3 separate regions of the Mus musculus genome follow, and regions 2 and 3 are each reported to be linked to region 1. Evidence: microRNA targets listed by miRTarBase, many of them from high-throughput screens and not tested one by one. Region 1 holds a microRNA gene; each other region holds the end of a gene's coding sequence.
The links. Region 1 holds the annotated microRNA mmu-miR-449b (AGGCAGUGUUGUUAGCUGGC, at 2,876-2,895, shown strand). A microRNA usually pairs through its seed, bases 2 to 8, with sites in the 3' UTR of a target mRNA and lowers its output. Matches are read on the target gene's strand: a 7mer-m8 pairs with bases 2 to 8, a 7mer-A1 pairs with bases 2 to 7 and ends in A, and an 8mer does both.

Region 1 (7,197 bases):
TTTCCCTCTCTCACAAACTTCCTGCTTATGAAGTAGCTCCCAAGATCCAGCAAGAGAACTTGGCCAGTTCCCCAATTCCCCAAGTGGACAGTGCGGATAATTTATTAATTGGAAATGTCAACGCATTTCTCGGCAGCCTAGACACCCCCCCCCCCTTTTTTGAGTTTGAGTTTGAAGACAGAGGAGTTAACATGCTCATTGAGAGACATGTTTACGTTCAGGAATTTTCACAAGCGATTATCACTAAGCAGTAAACAGAAGGGTGAGAATTACTGCACGCGTCCAAATTTGATAATCAGGGTGGGGTTGAAGAAAAGGAGAGGGGAACGGAAAAAAAGGATTAGAGTCAGTTAGGACGAAACGTTTTTGCTTTTGAAAACAACAGTGAACTCCAAAAACCCCGCTTCTCTACCCGCCGACTCCGCACCTCCTGCGGGCTCGGGCAGGAGGCTCAGGCCCGCCACTGCTCGCGGCAAAGCTTGGCGCTGCGGCGCGCGCCGCTCGGGAGGCCCAGTGCGGGGGCGCGGGTAGGAGGGCGGGACCCGAGCGAGCACCCCGACACCCCAGACTTGACGTCATCGAGGCGCTGGCCTGTGGCGGGACCGACGGAAGGAGGTTCCCGCTTTGATTGCCGCCCCGCGGGCTTTTTAAAGGTTACCCTGGGGAATACGCTCCAGGAGCTGTGGGAGGAGCGAGGGTCTCGGGGGTAGGAGGGCAGGTTTGATGGGTTTAGGGGGACGAGGCTAGCGGTTTGGGAAGTCGTGGTCCTGCTTAGCCCCTGAGGGGGAGAGGCAAGGCGTCCAGGAACAGCGCACTCACTCGGAGATGGAGTGGAAACTGCAACGCACCGCCCGGAGGAAGATCCGGACGGAAGAAGAGATGTTGTGGGTGCGTACCATCCTTTTCTTTCTTGACCCAACCCTCCCATGGGGCTTCTTGCAGAAGGTACGGTTTGTAATACCCAGTAAGGACCAAAAGATGCCATGAAATTCTACAGCCTAGTTTAAATTTTGAACGGTGTGAAATTTAAGTTCTGGAGATACCTGGTTGCTTTAGAAAGAATGAGTGAATCAGCAAACCCAGGATTCAAAACAATTCCCCACTCTCCGTGACGATTTTCCTAGAGTTTTCTCCCTTCTTATGTTAATCTATTTCCAAAGGAGAACATCATGCGGGTGCTCGCCAACGGCATGAAGCAGCAGCGAAATCAAGGTTCCCCCAAGGTGAGTTTTCTGGGCTTGCCCTTCTGTCTTCATTCTGATCTCGAGCAAATTAATTCTTGCTATAGAAGGCATTTGCAGGAATTATGGGAGAATTAATACAAATTAAAAACCTTTACAGAATCTGAAGACTTAAGAAATGGATTCTCACAACTGATGTAGCTACTTATACCTGCTTAGCGGGCGCTTCCCAGTGTCCGGCTCCACAGAGGATGAAGTGTGGGTGTGTCAGGCAGGCAGTGCATTGCTAGCTGGCTGTTAGAACTTTATCCCAACAGTTGCTAGCTGCACTACCCTCTGCTGCACTCAGAAGCATGCAAAGACGTGGAAATAGTGCCATCTGGTGGATAAGGAGGTGTCTTCAAGACAGCTACTAAAAGCTGGATCCAATATAGTATTTCTGCCCCTTAAAGCTCTAACCCAAAGCTTGCAGTTCTTTTTAAAAGAGTGTTCTTTTGAAACTCATTTTTATTACCTTGTGTTTATTTACCTGCACTTATATCTGTGCATCACGTGTGTGCGTGGTGTCCGCGGAGCTCAGAAGAGGGCTTCTGATCGCCTGGAACTGGAGTTTCAGGCTTTTGGGGGCCGCCCTGTTGGTGTTGAGAATCTAATCTGTGTTCTCTGGAGGAGCAGCCAGTGCTCTTTTCAGCCGCTGAGCCATCTCTCCAGCTCCTGTACTTTCTTTAATGGATGAAAAAGTTAAATCCTCATCTGACTCACATCTCTAGCACCACTTACTTCTCTTTACACCAAATAGCCCACATGCTTTTAAATTTAGATTATTAGCTAAAATCTCACCATTTGAATATTTTTCTAGATAACATACATTTTTCTATATTCAATCAGTGACGCTTGAAATCAAATATATAGCTGGCCTTTTAAAATGCAGTGACTAATGTCACCTATAGAGAAATAACATTTAAAAGCCTTTACATTGTGTCTTTAGTTATGTTTCCTGCCCAAATTATTTTATCTTCTAGATACTTTACTGCCTAATTCAATTGAACTTTTGTTAATTCATTTTTACTTTGCTAACATCTTTAACTTAACATTAAATTTGGAAAACCCAAGTATAAGAATACAGAGTTCTTAGTCAAGCACTTAATGCCAGCACTTGGGAGGCAGAGGCAGGTGGATCTCCCGGCTCCAGGCCAGCCTGGTCTACACAGCAGTTCCACATCAGCCAGGGCTACAAAAAAAAAAAAAAAAAAAAAAAAAAACACAAAAACAACCTGTCTAGAAAAAAATTAGCCAATCAACCCCCCACCCCCAAGGGGGAAAAACAAACAAAACATCAAAAACCACATTTAAAGTTCTTAAAAGTTTTTTTTTTTAAAACATGGGTATAGCTTGGTAATATAAATTTTGTTTCTTATAGTTTAGGAGACATTAAACAAGGTTTCTCTATAAATCCTCTTCAGTTACTAAGATTAGAGTTCTGGGGTTGGCAAGAAGGTTCAGTAAAGGCACTTACTGCCATGCTATCCCAGGAATTCACATGGTGGAAGGAGAAAACTGGCTCCCTCAGAGTTCCCTTGCTCTCCGTATCCACGCCACCACACTCCAGCAGCTCTGCAGCAGTGTCTTTCTGTTAGAAACTTAGCCTCAGCCACTCCACAGACTGTGAAAATCCGAACTTGCCAGACTCGGGTAGGCAGTGTTGTTAGCTGGCTGCGTTGGGTCAGGCCAGCAGCCACAGCTACCCTGCCACTTCCTTCTGGCTGGGTTCTTCTTGTTAATGAGGTGCGCTGTCTTGCCTGTGTGTGATGGCTTGGCAGTGTATTGTTAGCTGGTTGAGTATGTGAGCGGCACCAGCTAACATGCGACTGCTCTCCTATTGCACACACAATCACCACCAGCATGCATTTACAGCTCATGTATGTGCTTTGCCATGAAGAGGGGTACTATTATGATAACAGCTATTAGTGGCTTGGGGTGACACAAGGACATATTTATAGCAGTGAAAGTACTAACCATTGTTACTTTAAAAACTCAAGTAATATTTTCTGAGTCCTAGCTTGACATTATCAAAGCATTTATAAAGTTATGTGTTTGTTGTTTTAACACAAGATTTAGAATAAAATGGAAAGCCTTGTGTATTTGCCCAAGTTTCCAACTAAATCAGTTTCATGATAGAGTAGAGCAGGTCTCTCCAACTTTATGTATACACCAAGTGGAGGGAGAATTTGTGTTAACTTTCAAAATGACCCACACGTTAAAACATCTTCACTAGAAGTATCTAGACAATTTGGGATATCTTGGGGATGTGGTAGGGATGGGCTTATTTATTTGGGGAGACAACTCAGTTCTTCCATTTTGTATAAAATATTGCAAATATTTTTTACAATAATTGGAAGGACATGAGATCTAGTTTATAAAGAAAGAAGAAGAGCTGGCCATAAATATTATTTAAAATACTTCCTCATTCTTTGGAAGGCCGTTTGATTCACGGAACAGAGTCAGAGGTCATATGGTGACCTCAGGTGGACATCTGCAGGAAATCACCAGAACTCACTGTGGTGTACTGGTGACTACTAGAGACATAGAAGAGAAAAGAAAAAGACTGCACTCTTTAAGTTATTGGGCCAAAATCTCCTGATGAAATAAATTTGCATTAACTATTTAAATGTAAATATATTTCTTAGACATAGGTTAAACAGATGCTATTATCTGATTCCTGTGTATTTTACTATTTTCAAATCTCATCCTTGGTGTTGCTGCTGTTGACCAGTATTATTTTATGATGGTCTTTGTGTTTAAGACAGCTAAGTAAATAGTATTTTCATTTTTTTTTTAGAATTTTTATTTATTCCCTGAGAATTTCACACATGTATACAATGAATTTTGATTCTATTCAACCCAAACTTCCCACTCCCTCTGGACCCTTTCCCAATACCTCCCTTCTACCTCTATGGCTTCTTTTAAAAAATAACACCCTGAGTCCAATTAAAGCTGTCCACATTCCCACGAGCGGGGGGCCATCTATCTGATCCACTACAGCTCCTGCCCGTGAAGAAAAATGACCTCCGTTTCCCATTTGTCATCATTCTCCAGCGGCTCTTCAGCTAGGGTGGAGCCTCCGGGCCCCTCCCCACCCTGCTGGATGGTTAGCAGGCTTCATCTTACACAGGCCTGCTTATCTGTCGTTAGTTGAGGAGTGTAAGGACCATACAGGGCCAGAAGACAGTGTTCCCAGTACTCTTCCTCATTCCCTGGCTTACATTCCTTCTGTCCCCCTCTTCTACAATGTTCCTTGACTTTTGTGGGGTTGATATAAATCAGACACATCAACAGTCACTTACTCTCAGTACTTTGATTTATCATGTTTTCATCTTTTGAGATAGGGTTTCTCTGTGCAGCCTTGGCTGTCCTGGAACTCACTCTGTAGACCAGGCTGGCCTCTAACTCAGAAATCCGCCTGCCTCTGCTTCCCAAGTGCTGGGATTACAGGTGTGCGCCACCACTGCCCAGCCCGATTTCATCTTTTTTTTTTAAGGTTAAATTTCTGCATGTTTTTTTTCTTTAGTTAATGACTTGTCGATAAAAATAAAATCTACTAAACCTAGAAGGCTTTTCTTTGCGTTTTAATTGAAAAGCAAGGCATAAAACACCAACATTTGCACTCAATAAACATGTATATATTTTGGAATGTTGGGATGTAACCTAGGACCTTGTACAAACACCCCCATGCACGCGTATTGAAAACACTTCCTAATTCTATATTACTAAGATGATGAGAAAGGAGGGCGGAGTGGAGTGAAATCAACGTAAGGGCATGAGATCCATTGGTAAGGAGAAAAATGAAGGAAGAAGAATCGGCCAGGCATAGCAGACTACACCTGTAACCCCCAACATCAGGAGTCAGAGGAGTTTAATGCAGCCTTGGCTATAGGACAAATTGTTTGAAGCCAGTCTGGGTTTTGTGAGACTCTCATTCCAAAATAAAACAGCAAAACAAAAAGCAAAGCAAAAACAAAGATGAACTACTACTAAATATAACGTGTCTGTGGGGGTGGGAGAGGAAGGGAGGGAGGGAGAGTTATACACGGGGAAGCCAGGGAAGCAGCAGCCAGGAAAGGATGAGCTGGAGGCAGGAAAACCGCAGTGCTGTCCACAGCACCTGAAAGGGAGCCCTGCCCCTTTGCTACCCCATTCTGAATTCTCTCAAGGGCAGTGCCCCAGCAGAGTCCCGGAGGAGAGACCCAAGAGTGGCAGGGATTCATTTGTAGGCAAAGCGACAGACAGAATTTACTGCAAGTCAACCTGAGGACTCAGTATGGGTCCACGTTATCCAGGCTGGTCGTTTTCTCCCACGGAAACACTATTATGTACAAGGGTCACTCAGCGCTCCCAAGGCTTACTCAGGACAGACTGCTAAAACATAGTCAATATTTGAAAAGAAAACATAGTTTCTCGTTTCCTTCTTGGGTTCCCTCTCCCATTTCCTGTCCTCCTCTTCCTCCCCTTTCTTCCTCCTTTCTGCCTCTCCCTTCCCTCCCCTCTACTCTCCTTACTTCTGCCCTGCCCTCTTCCTCTCCTTTATTTTCTTTTTGACCTGCATATTTTCCTCCTTGAGGCTATCTGTATAGAGAGAGTGTGTAGGCCATCAGACTTCGCTGGGATTAGGCAGCGTTCCATAATTCAGAAACTGCATACATGTCCACATTTGTATGGACCCCGTCAAAATAGTGTATTTACAATAAGAAAAAGGGCATGTTTGATACATTTCACGTTAGCCTTTTCTCTTTGGGGAGCCTTATGACACCTTTATCAATTCTATTTGTAAGGATTTTTTATTTGCTGGAGCCATCTTCGGTTGACTGTGAGAAGCAATGGTTAACGATCTCAGAAAATATACAAGCTAGGTACTAAGCCATTGATACTGACGCTGGTCACATGGGAACATTTAGGCTATGAAATTATACAGCTGCTATACAGGAAAAGTCCTCATATATAAACACATATATATGTTCACATATATAACATAATTTGTGTATATTATATATGTGCATATATGTAATTATAGTGCACCTGTAACATGTATATATGAATACATATATAACACATTATATATGTGTATATAACTTACATATGTTATATTTATGTACACATATATAGATGTACTATCATTTTTATGATTAAGAGGTGCCGCTTTCAGGGCACATTCATATTAATTTCAGTCCCACTGTTCTCTGCTGATGCATCTACCAAGAATAGATGAGTTTGTATGATGAACTTTAGTCAACAAATTATTAACTCAGCGAAGGTACATGCAACCACATCTCTGTTTTGCCTTGAAGATGACACCTTTTCACATACTTCCCACGTCCTGCAGCAGCCTGTATCTGGGAAGCAGTAGCCCAGTTAAGTTGATAAGTGCGACCCCCTGAGTCGTGAGTGGCGGCACACTAGCAAACAGCTCTTCTCCACTATCAGCTGAATGTTAGGGGTCTCTGAAGGGACCGTTGAGTTTCTGCCAGGGCCATTCACAGAACATGCTTTTAGAGCCTTGCCTGCCCGCTCTGCCTTTCCAAGTGCGAGGGGAGACTGGCTATTGTTGAGAGCATGGGTTAGATAAAGCAGCCTGACCTGGAGACACTGGATGGATGGAAGCTCTTGATATGGCCCCGGAGAGAAGTGGTGACTTGAGGACATCAGAATCACATCTACTGGGACAGTCAAGGTCACTCTCTGTTCAGCTTTGTGATCACCCACCTGGTAGGGTGGGTCTGCACAGCCTGTGTGTGTGTGTGTGTGTGGGGGGGTGGGCTGCATTTCTGCTCAAGTGCCTGGAGGGAGCATGCTCAGATGCTGCCTGGGGGGAGCATGCGCAGATGCGTTGACAGAGCTTTTGGTGCTCCGGAAAATCAGGAGTCGGAGGACGTGGCAATAAGAGCCTGGGAAGTAGCACTAGGAGGGGTGGGTTCTGCTCGAAATTGAACTTGGAGACCCAGAATGTAAATTGCTAGTTGGC
Region 2 (7,197 bases), not on the chromosome of region 1:
TAGAGCCTCCTGACACAGACCTCTCTTGCTCTTTCTGCACTGATGAGCCAAACAGGAAGGACTCCATGGCTTTGGAAGAAGACAAATCAACAGGTCGAAGGTTGAGCTCCATGGAGTCAAAGTGGCTGTAAAGCAGCATGCGTGTGGAATTCATCGACCAGCTACTGGAACATTGCGGTTCTTGTTACATCTTTTCAGACTACCCTGACTGGATAGACATCCAGTTTATCCTTGTATTCAAATCACCTGTATTCAAACCTTATTTCACTGCTATTATCTGAACTGTGGCGAACCACCTTACTTCTGTATGCTTCAGCTGTTTATGTGGAATGACACTAATATTATGTATATACCACAGAATATTAGGGGGATCGACTCAAATACTCAGCCCTTTAACACAGCTGCTATGCATAAATTATTGTTATTAATTTCCAAAGTCGACTCAGTTTGAGACATCATCCAAATGTGGGTTTCTCATGGAGTTGATCAAGAACGTAAGCCGAGTTGTAAAATGACAAGTTATCTAAACATGACACGTGATGGTGAGAATGTTGACTTTGAAAAAACGAAAGAAGAGGCAGCAAAAGATATCGGAGTGAGGAAGGCAGAAGAAAGTGTGCAATTGAAGCAGCCTGGGCACTAACCTGACGCTGTTAATAAGCCTGCAGAGCAAGAGCCCAGCCCCAGGCAGCATGATAATCAATTCTGAGTGCCAGCTGGATTGGCGTAAGGAACACTGATGGCATTAACAAGGCATGACTCTGCTGGCAAGGGTGTTCCCAGAGAGAGAGGTGTTCTTAGGAGGAAAGACCCAGCCTGAACGTGGGCAGCACCATTCCATGCGCTGAGGTGTCAGGAGAAAAGCCAGCTGAGCCTGACTTCCTCTTCTCTGCTGCCCATTCGCCACCATGGGCCAAGCTGCTCTTGGTACCTTCACTGCCGGGACAGATCATGTTCTTGTGAGCCCAAATGCTTACTCCTGTGGCTGAATTCTGTCAGTTGTTTAAACACAGATAGGAGAAATAACAAATGTAGTTAAAGTGAACTACAAAGATTCCACAGGCTGGTAAAGCCGTGTCCTGGGTATCTTTTTGCCTTAAATATAACATGCACGAATACCTTGATCCTTGTTTCTTTCAGTCACAAAAGCCCACCCTGTCTTGTTAACCCACCCTCATTTCTCCTGTTATAAAAAGAAACTAAAATCTGCTACTCGCCCTTTGCCAAACGGTAAGCTTCGTTTTAAGATGTCTATAAATAAAGGACTATGTTCCCAGAGGACAAAGCCCCTGACCAGCTCACTGCTGTGCATCTCAGTCTCTTGTCTGTACATAAATGAATATTACAGGTTCCAAAGTGAATAAGCACCTGCAGCGAAGATGGTGAGACCCTCACAAACACAAGTGAGGCAGCGAAGATGGTGAGACCCTCACAAACACAAGTGAGGCATACACAACCCACATGGAATGGGACTGGTATTTATGCAGGGCCAGTGACAGATGTGCAACACAAGGAAACGAGCTCTTTGCAGCAGCCTGGGGGGCAAGGGTCTATCAACACCCAGGTTTCCATCCTTTTAAAGTTTCTCAGAAGAAACTGCTCAGGGTGTCAGCAAATACCAGGATGCGGCACTTGCCCATCACGTGCTCTTCACCTGCGCCTGTCACGTGCTCTTCGCCTGCGCCCGTCACGTGCTCTTCACCTGCACCTATGAGATGAGCTTCTGTTCTTCTGCGATCTCTAAAGCACGAACAGGAAGAGACCTATTTGTAGAGAAAGAGGCACTTTGCTACCTCAGAAACAATTTTGTGCCTATTCGGAGAAGAAAAGGATTTTAAAAAAATGTAAGGGGCTTAAAAAATGGCAAAATGCGGTTTTCTGTATTGTTACAACGCTCAAGGACAGCTCTGTTTCAATGCCTTTGCAATTTAAATGCAATTTTATTCTGGTGGTGTCTGTATGGTCAGCAAAAGCAAGCAACAAAACAGCACACTATCCCTGAGCCACGGGGATCATTTGAAGAGCCCGATGGATATAGTTTCCAGCTTCCCCACTTGTGACAGTGCCACGTAAGTGGACTCTCAAACCATGCATATCAATTGGATCTTGTGGCACACTGGGTGTTTGTATATACTGCAGAGGATGTGAGGCCTCCGACAGGAACTCACCCGCACACTGGACTACTCTCTCTGAGTCTTAGCCTTCCGGGTTAGTGAGCGGCCTCTCTCACCACGCAGCTCGCCAGATGCCAAGGGCTGCCCATCCTCAGTGACAAACAGTGAGAAACGTGCCCTCATGTTCTCTAGATGAACTGCAACATCTCATGACAATAGAACACCACTGGTCTTAGCAATACACGTGGAGAACGCAGCAGATAGAGCGGAACTCAGGCTCTATCCAAGTTGTACAAGACAACTGTAGAGTTCAGGGCAGGGATGATACCTCTGGTCCGAGGAGACCCTATGCTGGTGGAGCCTGTGGGCCATGGTAGATTCTTCTAGTAAACCACATGGGCATCTCCCCTGGTTATTATTTAGCATTTTAAAGGGCACAGTGGGAAGAGTATTAGAGCAGGAGTCAGTGATAAGACTTGGGTGTCAGGACTGTCATCGGACCAGTTGAGCTGTTTCAGGTCCCCAAGTCTCACTCCTTAGCTGCAGGCACGGCGATCAGACTGGCGGCTTTTCCAGGTCCTTGCATCTCTATATATTGGGTGCATAGGATGCTGAGCACTGGCTCCCGAAGTCACAGCGTCTCTTTACAGAAACAATCAACGGATGAGCTTCTGCCAGTTAGAAATGCAGTTAAGGGTGGCCTCTTCCTTGTTCCGGAATCGTGCTTCACGTGTCCTAACGCATGCCACCTGCCACCGGACAATGTGGCTGAGTCTCTCATTTTACAGGGCATATTAAGTGCTTGATACGTACATACATATATATGTTGTCTTTTTTTCCAAGAAGGTCATGAGTAAGCTTTTCTGAGGGCAACATCCTTTTCTTAAGGTCAACAGGTTCCCAGTTCAGTTCACACGCTCGCTTCCCAGTCAGCTTGGTTCATACTAAAACTGCAGAGGAAAAAAACCTCTCCTTACATAGTGACCCTTTTCCCACAACAGCCCCTGCTCTATGGCCGTGTAACAGAAACCATGCAGAATGTCGCCTCCTGGCTTACAGAGGGAACGGAGCCCAGCGCCATGTTCCTCTGTGTGGCTTTCGCTGAGCTACAGGTGGTCGAGTCTGCTGACACTGATTGCTACACTTGTGTGTCTGATTGGTGACAACTGTACATCTGATTGTATCCTCAGTTCTAGATTTAGCATCTTCTCTGGCTTTATTCCTCTGGCCAGCCATGCGGTGTGATTTCATACACACTCGGCAATCAGCGCATTTACTTTGGATTTTTTTTTTTTTCCTTTTCAGGATTCAAAATGAAACCCAACAAATTTCAGCTGAAGTCTAAAATAAGGCTTTCTATGAGTCACACATCGGCAAAGGCTGTGGAATCATATGCATGCTTTCTCATACAGTTGTAAGTACATATATATGCACTGCCCATTCATGTACTACATGCACAAATGGACTTCATGTTCATAAAGACAAACATACCTTCAAATTAATTATCATTTTTGATAGTTTGTCGCCAAGATAAAAATCATCTGTCAATTACAACATCAATATGACTTATTCAAAGGCTAACTTCAAAGAGACTTTAAATACTTTACATTTTCCATTGTTTTTAAAAAGGATTCTAAAGAATTAGAAATAATATTCTATGACTTTATTTAAAAATATTTCTTAGGATAGAGTACTCCAGAGTCTCTCACTCTCTTGTATGCCATTGAGTTGTGGTGTCTGTGTGTACATTTCCATTTTTCTTTTCATAAATATTAATTAATATATAGGTAGTTATGTAGCAGTGCTGAGTGAGGTCATTTAACTTTAATGTTTGGGTGTGGATAAAATCTTTCGGTGGACTAGTACCTGCAGGGCCAACAGGAGCTTTGACTAATGCTCGCCCTTGCCCACCCACTTGTCTCACTCTCTCACCAAGTCCAAGATGGAGAATTTCTCCTTCACATGGGAGAAATTAGACTTTGCATTTCTACCAGAACTAAGGCTGGAAGAAAGGGACAGGAAATGGAAGCAGAGAAAAGTATTACTTCAGAGGAAAGCAACTCCTGAGCGTTGGTCAAAGCCCTCATTGCAAAGGCACTCAACTGGGTCTTCATGAAGTGCTTTTGGTTTCATACTTTGCAAAAAAGGAGACAGACAACAAGGAGAAAGAAAGAGGAGGGAGGAGGATGGGGGAGGAGGGAGAAGAAGAGGGGAGGAGGAGAGAGAAGAGGAGGAGGAGGAGAGAGAAGAGAAGGAGGAGAGCTGAGAAAGGGGGGAAGGAGAGAGAAGGGGGAGGGAGAGAGAAGGGGGGTGAGGGCCACTGTCTATGCCATTCCAGACGACTGCAGGCTTAAATTTGGACGCTGCCTTTTCCACACACAGTGTGAGGAAAGCCCACACAAGAGGAAGCTATAGCTCTCTTTAGGGAGGCAGGAGAGTATGTTTGTTGAGTCTCTCATCTGTAAGCACCAAAATAGAGTTAGCCCACCACTGACTGGGCAGTGACACAAATCAGGTTACACACTCCTGAAGGCATTCAGATAACTGAGTGTTCATTTCATGTAAAAGCAGAACTGCATCACAACTGAGAGAAAACAACGCTCACATTGAAATTTTAACATTGCTATTATTTATTTTCCTTTAAGTGGGCATCTTGAATCACTATCAGCTCTAAAATCTAACATTCATAGAACTAAAAAAAAAAAGTCACATAAGCAAACAATAGAATAACCACTCCTCCCAGGGATGAGGCTGGGGCTGGGTAACTCTTGTGGGTGTGGGTGTGGGATGTCTATCAGTGTGACAGTGTAGGGTAGGAAAGATGCACATCTTAATGACGTCACACGTCACATGGCCTTTAGTCCTAGCCCTGTCAAGGTTCTACAGCTGAGGTGTATTGTTATTTCCAGCTCTAAAACATTAAATGCAGCCTGGTTTTAGCTTTTGAATTGTTGTGCCAAGATATTTATAGATGCTTGGTAGTGTCTCAGAAAACCAACTTCTAATATTTAAGGACCATTGATCTACGGAGAAGGAAGCCGTCTCAGGCCTAGACCAGGGAACTGTATTTCTCTGCTTCCATTCCTATCCATTGTCCCCGAGCCCTGGAACAGAGCCACTGACAGAAACAAAAACATTAAAAGTATCTAAGCTTATAGGGTACTGATCTATGACACAGCCATCCTTGTGGTCATCTTGTATAATCTCTGCTGTATTTGGCAGAGAACTCAATCATATACTAATTTACACAAATGCTACTCTATACATATATTCTGAGGCAGAGCAACTTGGGACACAGGAACACAGCTAACAATGCAGATCAGCTGCTGGGGGTGGCAGAATGTGCCGGCAATCATCCAGTGAGGCGGCCGTGGGTGTCACATGGCACACAGCATATGTGAAGCATAGCGAAGCACTTTGGGAAGTAAGCTCGTCACCATTTTACTGTCCTAGCAGAACATCTGATAACCTAAGGGATGGTCAACCCCATGAAGGCAAAAGCTCAGCCTGGGTTTGATGGTATAAAGAGTGTTTGGCACTTGGCATTGATAATGTATATGGAAAGATACCCTTTCAGCTTATAAAATAGAAATTTGAATTTAAAAATATATATTATGAATATGATAGGATACAAATTGATGCAAAAATATGTCTTGCTTTCCCTGTTTTGTGATTCAAAAAGCATCTCATTTGTTGGTACTGAGTGCTGAAGCAGAGAGAGAAACCCTTTGGTTATGCTCAAGAAATGCTTTCACAGTATGTGTTATTACAGTGTTGAAGTATATCTAACATGTTAATACTTAGCACTCAACCAAAAATAACTAAACATTAACGTAGGTAACTGTAATAATATGTTTAGTTATATTGTTTTGAGTAGTGAGAGCACAGCTGTCTGAGTGAAAATTTGTCAATATTTGCTACTTGATACATTTTGAATTAAGTCTCTGAGATAGTCCAGTAATCCTGGTACGCAGGAATTACAGAATGCCTTCATTGCTACATTTAGGTAGGTGGCCTGAGGCTTTCGCTGAGAGACATATGGAAGGAAGATGGCATATCAGAAAGAGATACCTCCCCTCTATCAGGCTGACTGGTAACTGTGGCATGACATCTATACCCTGAAGGATGACTTGGGACAGTGTTTGATAGTCCACCATTTTCCAAGATGGGGAGCAGCCCGTGCACTCAGTAAGCTTGCCTGAGCAGGCAGAAGTCGTCACTTCTGGAAGCCTCTTGAAGAATTCTGAGCAGCTATCTTGAAAGGTAATCTTCGTGTTTTCTTTAGTCACAGCCATCAGGTCACTGGCCTTCATTTCAACCGTAGGTAAGTTTTAAAGTGCAATTGATAGGGCCGAACCACCAGAAAGATCAGAATGAACATGACCGCCTCCCATGGAACGCCAAGTTCAAATTACTAACAGAGTCAGTATCCACACCAGAGAATGTCCAGGGCCATGGTCACACCCTGAACATCCTGCCTACACCGTCAGCACCATCAGCCTCTCTTCACCACAGCTGCAGTGTCATGGTCGGGAAGCACGGCATCAGGACAGCGTCCAGTTCGGGTGTGTGAATACTATTCTGTGCTTCTTGGCCCACTTGGCAAACACTTTCTTCTCGGTGATGAACCTGTGTCCCCCATACGGGGCATGTTCATGGAGAAGATATTCGTTACACTCATCTTTCCCTTGTTCATAGTAGTGATAGGGGACTTTTCTATACCCTTCTGTCCTGGAAGAGAAACAGAAGGGGAGGAAGACTGAGCTGAGCCGAGGATGAGGCTGGCGTTTACAAGCGTCCATTACATACCCCGCAAATGCATTTAACTTACAAGCCTTCATCAATGAGCTCAGTTAAAAGCTACCGCACATGAAAGCTTTTAGGGAAACGGAACCGTTCTCAGTGTCCTAATAGATCAAATACAATTTACATATCCTACCAATTACATTCAAACACATGGCTCAGTTTCAAAGGAGGAGATGGTATGAGACAGGACAAACCTTACGCAGCCCAGTGCTCTTTAAGGGGTAAGGAAACTGAGTTTTCACAGTGAAGTTTGGGGGTCATCTGTGTTCTCTTAGAC
Region 3 (7,197 bases), not on the chromosome of region 1:
TCCTTTGCCCCTTTGGCAGGTTTTTTGGGAAAATGGACAAGGGAAACAATCCAGAGCTCAGACCTATCTGCCAAGGGCAGAGGAAAGTAGATTCCTTCTTCCTCCCCCATCTTCTCTCCTTCATCTCTTTGGCGTGAGCTGGAAGTGTGAGGTGTGGGCCCCTGCCTTGGAGTCAGGTAGCAAGCCTCTGCTGTCAGCCCTGGCCACCTCCCTGCAGGATAGATAATGTTCAGCCAGGAATCCAGAGTTCATCATGCAGTGTGTCTAAATGTACAGCACAGCTCTGCCTACTATCCCACGCTGTCTTTGGGCTTCCCGGGGCCTCCTTAATGGGCCTGTGGCTCTCAGCTGGGCCACAGCTCATCACTGCACAGTGACAGGGCTATAAAACCCATGATGAATATGCTTGAGACTGAATGCAGGCAGGAGCCCCATCTGCTGTGCAGCCTGTGCCTGACCTCCACTGTCTGCTGTTTCACAGGTCAGATGCAGAAACCATTTGAGGATGCGTCGTTTGCTCTACGGACAGGGGAGATGAGTGGGCCCGTGTTCACGGACTCGGGCATCCATATCATCCTGCGCACAGAATGAGGGCAGGCACCTGGCCAGCCTGCTCTGGCTGCCACACAGCCCACGGATGCCCTTCCTGCTACTGTCACACAGTATTTATTGTTCCTAAAATGACTGGGAGGGGCTCTGAGCATCCCGCTCCCTGTTTGCCCCTATTCGGGGCTGTCCTAGCCAGGCTCCTTCTGGAGGAATTGACTTCAGAAGGGCAGTGGGGATGGGGAGGCCCCCAGGCTCAGGGGGTCAGAGGTGACCTGATCCCCCAGGTCTCAGAGGCAGGCAGGAGGGCCTTCTTTCTTGTTAGTTATATGCTCCATTCGTTCCTCTGTTCAGTTGCAAAAAGCAGACGCTCCATACCTGGCGGTGCAGCAACTCAGCCTCAGGGTGCAGTGCAGCACCCTACGCACCTTCCATTAAATCTGGAACCACTGGTTGGTGGTCCTGTATCATTACCTTCCTGGTGAGGTGTGGGGCCCTTGTCTCAGGGATGGGGCTTTTACCCACGTGTCCAGACTCTTCTCTAGCTCTAAAAGACCTTCTTTTCCACAGCTTGGGGGGTGCTGGCAAGAATTCTTTCCACTAGCTATATTCCCAGGGCTGCAAATACCTCTGAGCCCCACCAGTCCAGACCCACTTGTATAAGCACCCTGGGGACTGTTCAGGTATGCGCAGACCACCCCACCACCCCACCCCACTTCCAGCTGTTAGGTCTGGAGTGATCCCAAGAGAACCTGGCTTAGCATCTGCCTTGGCACACCCCCGGTGCCCATCCCTCCCCCTCAGCACACAGACAGACTGCTTATTGGTGAGAACAAATCACCCAGCATCTGCCACCCACTTCTGACTGGATATTCCTGGGCTCAGCCACAAGACCTAGCACTCTCCAGGTGCTGTTTCCATGGTAACAGAGGCCCCCTCAACTGGAGGAGAGGGGGGCTTTATCAGCTCCCAGAAGAAAAGAGATCCTATTGGAGGGGGCTGGGAAATGGATATTGCTTTGAGTGGCAGGTGGGGAGAGAAGGCGGACTCTCCCACCTTGGCTAGGGCCCTATGTCTCCCACAACTGCCTCTGAGCCTAAGGACTGAGGGCTCAGAATTCAATCAAGGTTTCTGCATATACCCACAAGTGATGGGGGGCCCAGCCTGGGGGATGTTCTAACCAGCAAGGCTTGGGGGCCAGAGCAACATTAAGCCTGGACCCCAAGAGAGCCCTCCCTCCCCACAGGCCTGAGTCTCATGAACAGAGTCACCTGAGCCTGCTCCCATCTGGCTGCTTTCTAGAGCAATCGCTCTTTGCCAGCCGCCTGCTGGAGCATTTGTCATTAGGAAGGTTTAATGAGTTTTTTCCCAGCTCAGACAGGCACAGGCTGAGCTGAGTTGGCTATACCTCCAGCAAAATGTTCTCCAGTGGGCCAGTGGGGACTCAAGGCAAACAGTCACAGTTTTGCTGTCTTGCAACAGTTGGGTGGGCTCAGGAGGCAGTGGCAGCCCTCCAAGTATCATGGGACCTTTGGAGGGAAGAAGAGGACCTCTAGCTTAGCTTGCAACACCAAGAGCTCTGGGAGGTTCTCCCTAGGGCCACTGCCACATCTGATCCACTGCCTGTAAGAAGCAGGTATTACCATAGTGGTAATTTGTGCATCCCTATGTGTGGCCATGTGATTTGGTATCTATGTTCTATATGATCCCAACCCACTGTCTAGGGTCTGTCCTTTGGACCCCTGCCAACCTCTTTTCCTGTCTACACAATTGTAAAAACCTAAGACTGAACATTGCTGTTAGATAAATGAGCCCCAGGAGCCCACTCAGCGTCCCCAGCATATATTATTAACTACCTGTGGTTTCCCTCACCTGCTCCAAGTTCCCACCCAGACTTGCTACTGGGAACTGGCTATAAATCCTGGGCCTTTAGGATGGCAACAGTGTAACAACCCCCCACCCCCAAGGGATGGAAACTTCTCTTTGTGCAGACTCCACTGCTCATTCTTAATGGGCTCTTCTTAGACTTGACACAGGGGATTCTGGGTTATTGCTGCAGTAGGGAATGGCAGCCTCCTGATTATAGCCAAACAGTCATCTATGATTTAGAGCAAGTTGGTTAACTCAGCACCACATAGCTCAAGACAGACAAATGAACAGAAGTGGATGGGTGAGGCGGGTAGGACCAATTGCTAATCCTTTGTAGTTGCAGCATGTGCCGAGTAATTTGTATATTTGCATTCAGGCATGCATGTGCACATGCGTGTGCATGTATTCATTGACTGTATACATTAAGAGTGCATACGTATAAGAGTGACACAGTGGGTGTACTATCAGATGCTCTGGCCCAAGTAAACACTCAGTGCCCACCTGTGACAGACATGTTCACATCAGTTCTATCCTTATGGAAACATGTCTCTAGGCACAAGTATACTCTAGCAAAGGCTAGAATTCCACAGTGCTGTAAGTGCAGCCTGGTTCTTTGACTCTGAGACCATGACCACCTTGAGCACAAGTTACAGGCAGGAGACATGCGCACTCCTTTTCCTTATTTGGAAATTTGAGACAAGATCTCACCCGGGTGGCATCAGCCTCCCCAGAACTGGTATGTCTAGTGGGTTCCTCCATGCCAAGCCTTTGCTGTCTTCAGTGGCATGAAGTTTGTCATGCTAGTCCGGGCCTTTATTCTTTTCCCCAGTGTCGTGCTTGTTCACTTACGTGGGAATTAATTGCTCTTCTCGAGGATGCCTTTAGAAATTGGTTTTAAATGAGTGCATTAGGCAGCCCCATTCATTATTCATGGGTTTCCTTCCCAATATGGCATCCAAGTCTGAGTTCCCGGAGATGATTTAATCACAGAGGCCATTAATTAGAGATGGGACAGCAGCCTCCTGGTGGCCTCAGCAGGGCGGGGTCATGGCCAGTGAAGATCTGCACATGCTGTCCCTGCCGTGGGTTCGGTGGGCTGGTGTGGGGGATGGGGAGCAGCATGTATTGCTCACTGCTCCATTTCAGCTGAAAGCCCCGCACATAACTCACTGCTCTCCCAAGTTGTGATGCCTTGGCCTCAGCCTTTCTGAAGCTGTGACTTTAATACCTCATGTTAGGGTGACCCTCCAACCATAAAACTTGGCAGAGTTTCTCTGTGTAGCTCTGGCTGTCCTGGAACTCACTTTGTAGACCAGGCTGGCCTCGAACTCAGGAATCTGCCTGCCACTGCCTCTGCCTCCCAAGTGCTGGGATTAAAGGCGTGCGCTACCACTGCCCAGCTCATAAAACTATTTTTGTTGCTCCTTCATATCTGTAATTTTGCTACTGTTAGGAACCATAAATATCTTTTGAGATAGAGGTTTGTCAGAGGGATCCTGACCTACAGTTTGAGAACCACTATGCCCTTATACCACAGACCTGGCTGACATGAAGCCCTCAGCATGCTGTGGCTCCGCTGGCAAAATACTTGCCTAGCATGAATGAAGCCTTGGGGTCCGTCCTCAGCATCGTTACAAACCAGGCATGGTGGTGGAAGCAAGATCCCGATGATCAAAAGCTCAAGGTTAAATAGAGCACCGCCCATTTCCTAACCAATCCTCTTATCTCCCCACCCCCGCAATGTCACAGCTGGGGGCACCAGGCCTCTGGCTGCCTAACCCTATCATGCCACCTAGTTTTTGTTAGCTTGCTTTGGTTGGTGCTTGTTTAACAATGAATAGATTGGGGGGGGGGGGGCGTTCAAGACAGGGTTTCTCTGTATAGCCCTGGCTGTCCTGGAGCTCACTTTGTAGACCAGGCTGGCCTCGAGCCTCGAACTCAGAAATCCGCCTGCCTCTGCCTCCCAGGTGCTGGGATTAAAGGTGTGCGCCACTACACCCAGCATGAATAGATTTATTAAGGGAGAGACTGCCAGGAGTTACCTAAGGAGGAGTAGCTCATGGCTCAGTTTCAGGACTCCTGTCCCCACTGCACTGAGTACACCTCTGCCCCACTCTAAGAAGAGTGCAGTGGGTTTGCTCAAACCCTGCCTAGGTACACCTTTTAGTTGAGTCTTGCAGTTAACTAGTATGACTTGTGTAAAAACGGTCTCTGCAATTACATAGCAGAGAAGAAATTGGGGGTCCAAACCTCAAGAGCATCCAAACTGTTAAAAAGCCATTAGACCCAGACAGCTTAGTGATGTGCCGGTGTGATGAGTGAGTGAGACAGCTCTGGGGAATGCTCACTGAAGGCCAGTTTTCATCGCCATAATAGAACTCTATGCTGTTCTGATCCAGTTGCTTTTAAATTAATGGCATTCGACTAAAACACCTTTGGGTTGGGTAGGCTCCTCCAGGGCCTAGCAAGCTCTGGGAAGGGCTGTCTAAGGACGCCACCTCAGGTCACACCAGAAGCACAGGTAATAGAGACTCCGTGGAGACAAGTCTGCAGTTAACACTAGCTACAAAACAACCCAGGCACCAAATGTCAAAGGTCCGGTTTATTCTGGCAACCCGGAAAGAAAACATGTAAATAATAAATTTAAAAAACAAAATCCATGCACTCAGATCCAGGGATAGGGTGGGAGTGAGGGGTAAGGAATGTGGGAAAGTGGGAAAGGAAGAGGAGGGAGAGTAGATGGAGGGAGAGGAGAAGAGAGGTTCGATCAATAAGGAAGAGAAGCATCCATAAAAAGGCAGAAAGACTCAGAAGTGGAGTATCAAAAGCAGAGATCAATAAAATGGGGGAAATGCATGGGTAGAGATACTGAGAACAGAAAGCTGGGCTGGGGAAGTGGGGAGACGGAATCTAGGAAGGCAAGGGCATGACCAAGAGAAGGCTGGGGTGGGGGTCACAGGCGATGTGGGAAGGCTCCCCAAAGCCCTTGCAGGGGCACCTAGGGGTCCCCGGCAGTGCTGATGACGTGGAACAGGGTGACGTTGTACAGCACCTGGTGCCCGTTGTTCCAGGTATACAGGGCCCGCTCCCTGGGGTTGTAATCCAGCATCGAGATGTGCGAATACTGGTTGTGGAAGGGCACATCCGTGTACTCATAGCTGGACGTGTTGGTGAAGTACGCAAAGTAGACCTTGGCTCCGGCCAGGTGAGAGTTGGTCACATAGAGGACACCGCAGATCATGAAGGCCTCGCCGGCGCTGCGCTTAGGGTACCCGGTGTCCCAGGATCTCACGACCTCCAGGGTGTGAGGGTCCAGCCGACTGACTACGATGTTGCCCGCATTCTGGTTGGTGGTATACACAGCCCACAGCCCACTCTCGTCTACCATGAAGTCCATGTCCGAGAAGCCGCCCCAGGAATAGGGGAAGGTGTTATTGTAACCAGCCCCCGGGAGGCTCCTCTGCACCAGCACCGAGCGGGACCGGAAGTGGTACTTGACCACCACATTGCTCTGGTACTTATTGTAGAAGAGAGAGCCATTGTATACCACATGGCCCGTACCTGCCCATGGCTGTGGCAGCAGGTGCTGGATGAAGTTCTGGCCTTTGATGAAGTCTCCCAGAGTACGGAACTCCAGCACTCGGCGGCCTTTGTAATAACCATCCATGTACCAGACCTATGAGAGCAGCAGCCAGTCACTGGAGGGACTGTAACCAGTGACCCTCCGAGACTGGCCAGCCAGGCAACATCAATCATGGTCAGCCATTATCAGCATGTCGCTACTCAGTCACCATCCGTCCTATGATCTTAGTGACCAGTTATAGTCTAGTGATTGTGAACACTAATGGGCCTGGGCAGATGACTCAAGGGGTAAAGTGCTTGCCACTCAAGCATGAGGACCTGAGGTTGGATCCCAGCACCCATAAAAGTGCTGAGCACAGTGGTGTACAGCTGTAACCACACTGCAGGGGAAGCCAGAGACAGATCTTGGGAGCTCATCAACCAGCCAGCATAGCCATATTGATGAGCTGCAAGTTCTGTGAGGGATCCTGACTGAGGGGAGGGGGGGTTGAAAGGGCCAGGAAGATGGTTCAATGGGGGAAGTTCACCTGCTTTGCAAGCAGAAAGATTGTCTGACCCCAGAACCCATCTGAGAAGCTGACCATGGCCGTATGTGTCTATAACCCCAGTGCTCTTGAGCACAGAGACAGGAGGATCAACTGGGGCATGCTGACTGCCAGCCTAGCTCAGTAAGAGAGCCTATATCCAGGCCTAAGGCTGGGAGTGACACAACGGGGAATCTGATGTCCCTGGCCTGTGAGCACACACATCTGTACACAAACCTGTGCACATCGAACACACACTAAAGGGAAAAGAAAAGGCAGTGGAGAATGATAGAGAAAAACATGTTGACCTCTGGCCTCATGCAGGGACACACACCTGCCTATGCACATTCCTTTATGAACATATAACAAAAGGACCCTAAATTAGTGGTGATGACCTGAAGGATCAGGGAACATTTTCCTCTAGGAGACTTACTAGGATCATAGATTCACTGGACACTAGGTTGAGACTGTTCACTGAACAGCTATTGGGTAATAAGAGGTTACTTTGATTTCACTATATTTTGGTTGGTTTGACTTGGTTTTTGTTGTTTTGGTTTTGGTTTTGGTTTTTGAGTAGAGTCTAACTATGTAACCTAGGCTGGCTTGGAACTCATTTTGTAGACCAAACTGGCCTTGAGCTCACACCCGCATCTGCCTCCTAAGTTAAGTGCTGGGA

Region 2: miRTarBase lists St6galnac3 as a target of mmu-miR-449b. Seed matches in the 3' UTR shown: 7mer-m8 at 4,612-4,618.
Region 3: the mRNA of Pin1 is a reported target of mmu-miR-449b. The part of its 3' UTR that is shown has no 7-base or 8-base seed match.

What each region holds. Positions count from the first base shown.
Region 1 is chr13:113,034,554-113,041,750 of GRCm38, forward strand. Mir449b (microRNA 449b) reads left to right here and starts at 2,866; the gene lies at 2,866-2,945. Cdc20b (cell division cycle 20B) reads left to right here and starts at 826. Exons shown (of 12, transcript NM_001281487.1): 1 at 826-888; 2 at 1,161-1,223. The coding sequence starts at 826. Mir449c (microRNA 449c) reads left to right here and starts at 1,430; the gene lies at 1,430-1,538. It overlaps Mir449a (microRNA 449a), which reads left to right and starts at 2,981; the gene lies at 2,981-3,071.
Region 2 is chr3:153,198,747-153,205,943 of GRCm38, forward strand. It overlaps St6galnac3 (ST6 (alpha-N-acetyl-neuraminyl-2,3-beta-galactosyl-1,3)-N-acetylgalactosaminide alpha-2,6-sialyltransferase 3), which reads right to left. Exons shown (of 5, transcript NM_011372.2): 5 at 3,763-6,845. The coding sequence ends at 6,659. Among named protein-coding and RNA genes, the nearest start is that of Gm33066, 22 kb to the right of the region's middle.
Region 3 is chr9:20,662,694-20,669,890 of GRCm38, forward strand. It overlaps Pin1 (protein (peptidyl-prolyl cis/trans isomerase) NIMA-interacting 1), which reads left to right. Exons shown (of 4, transcript NM_023371.4): 4 at 482-1,019. The coding sequence ends at 591. It overlaps Olfm2 (olfactomedin 2), which reads right to left. Exons shown (of 6, transcript NM_001357635.1): 6 at 4,997-6,091. The coding sequence ends at 5,414. Among named protein-coding and RNA genes, the nearest start is that of Pin1, 14 kb to the left of the region's middle.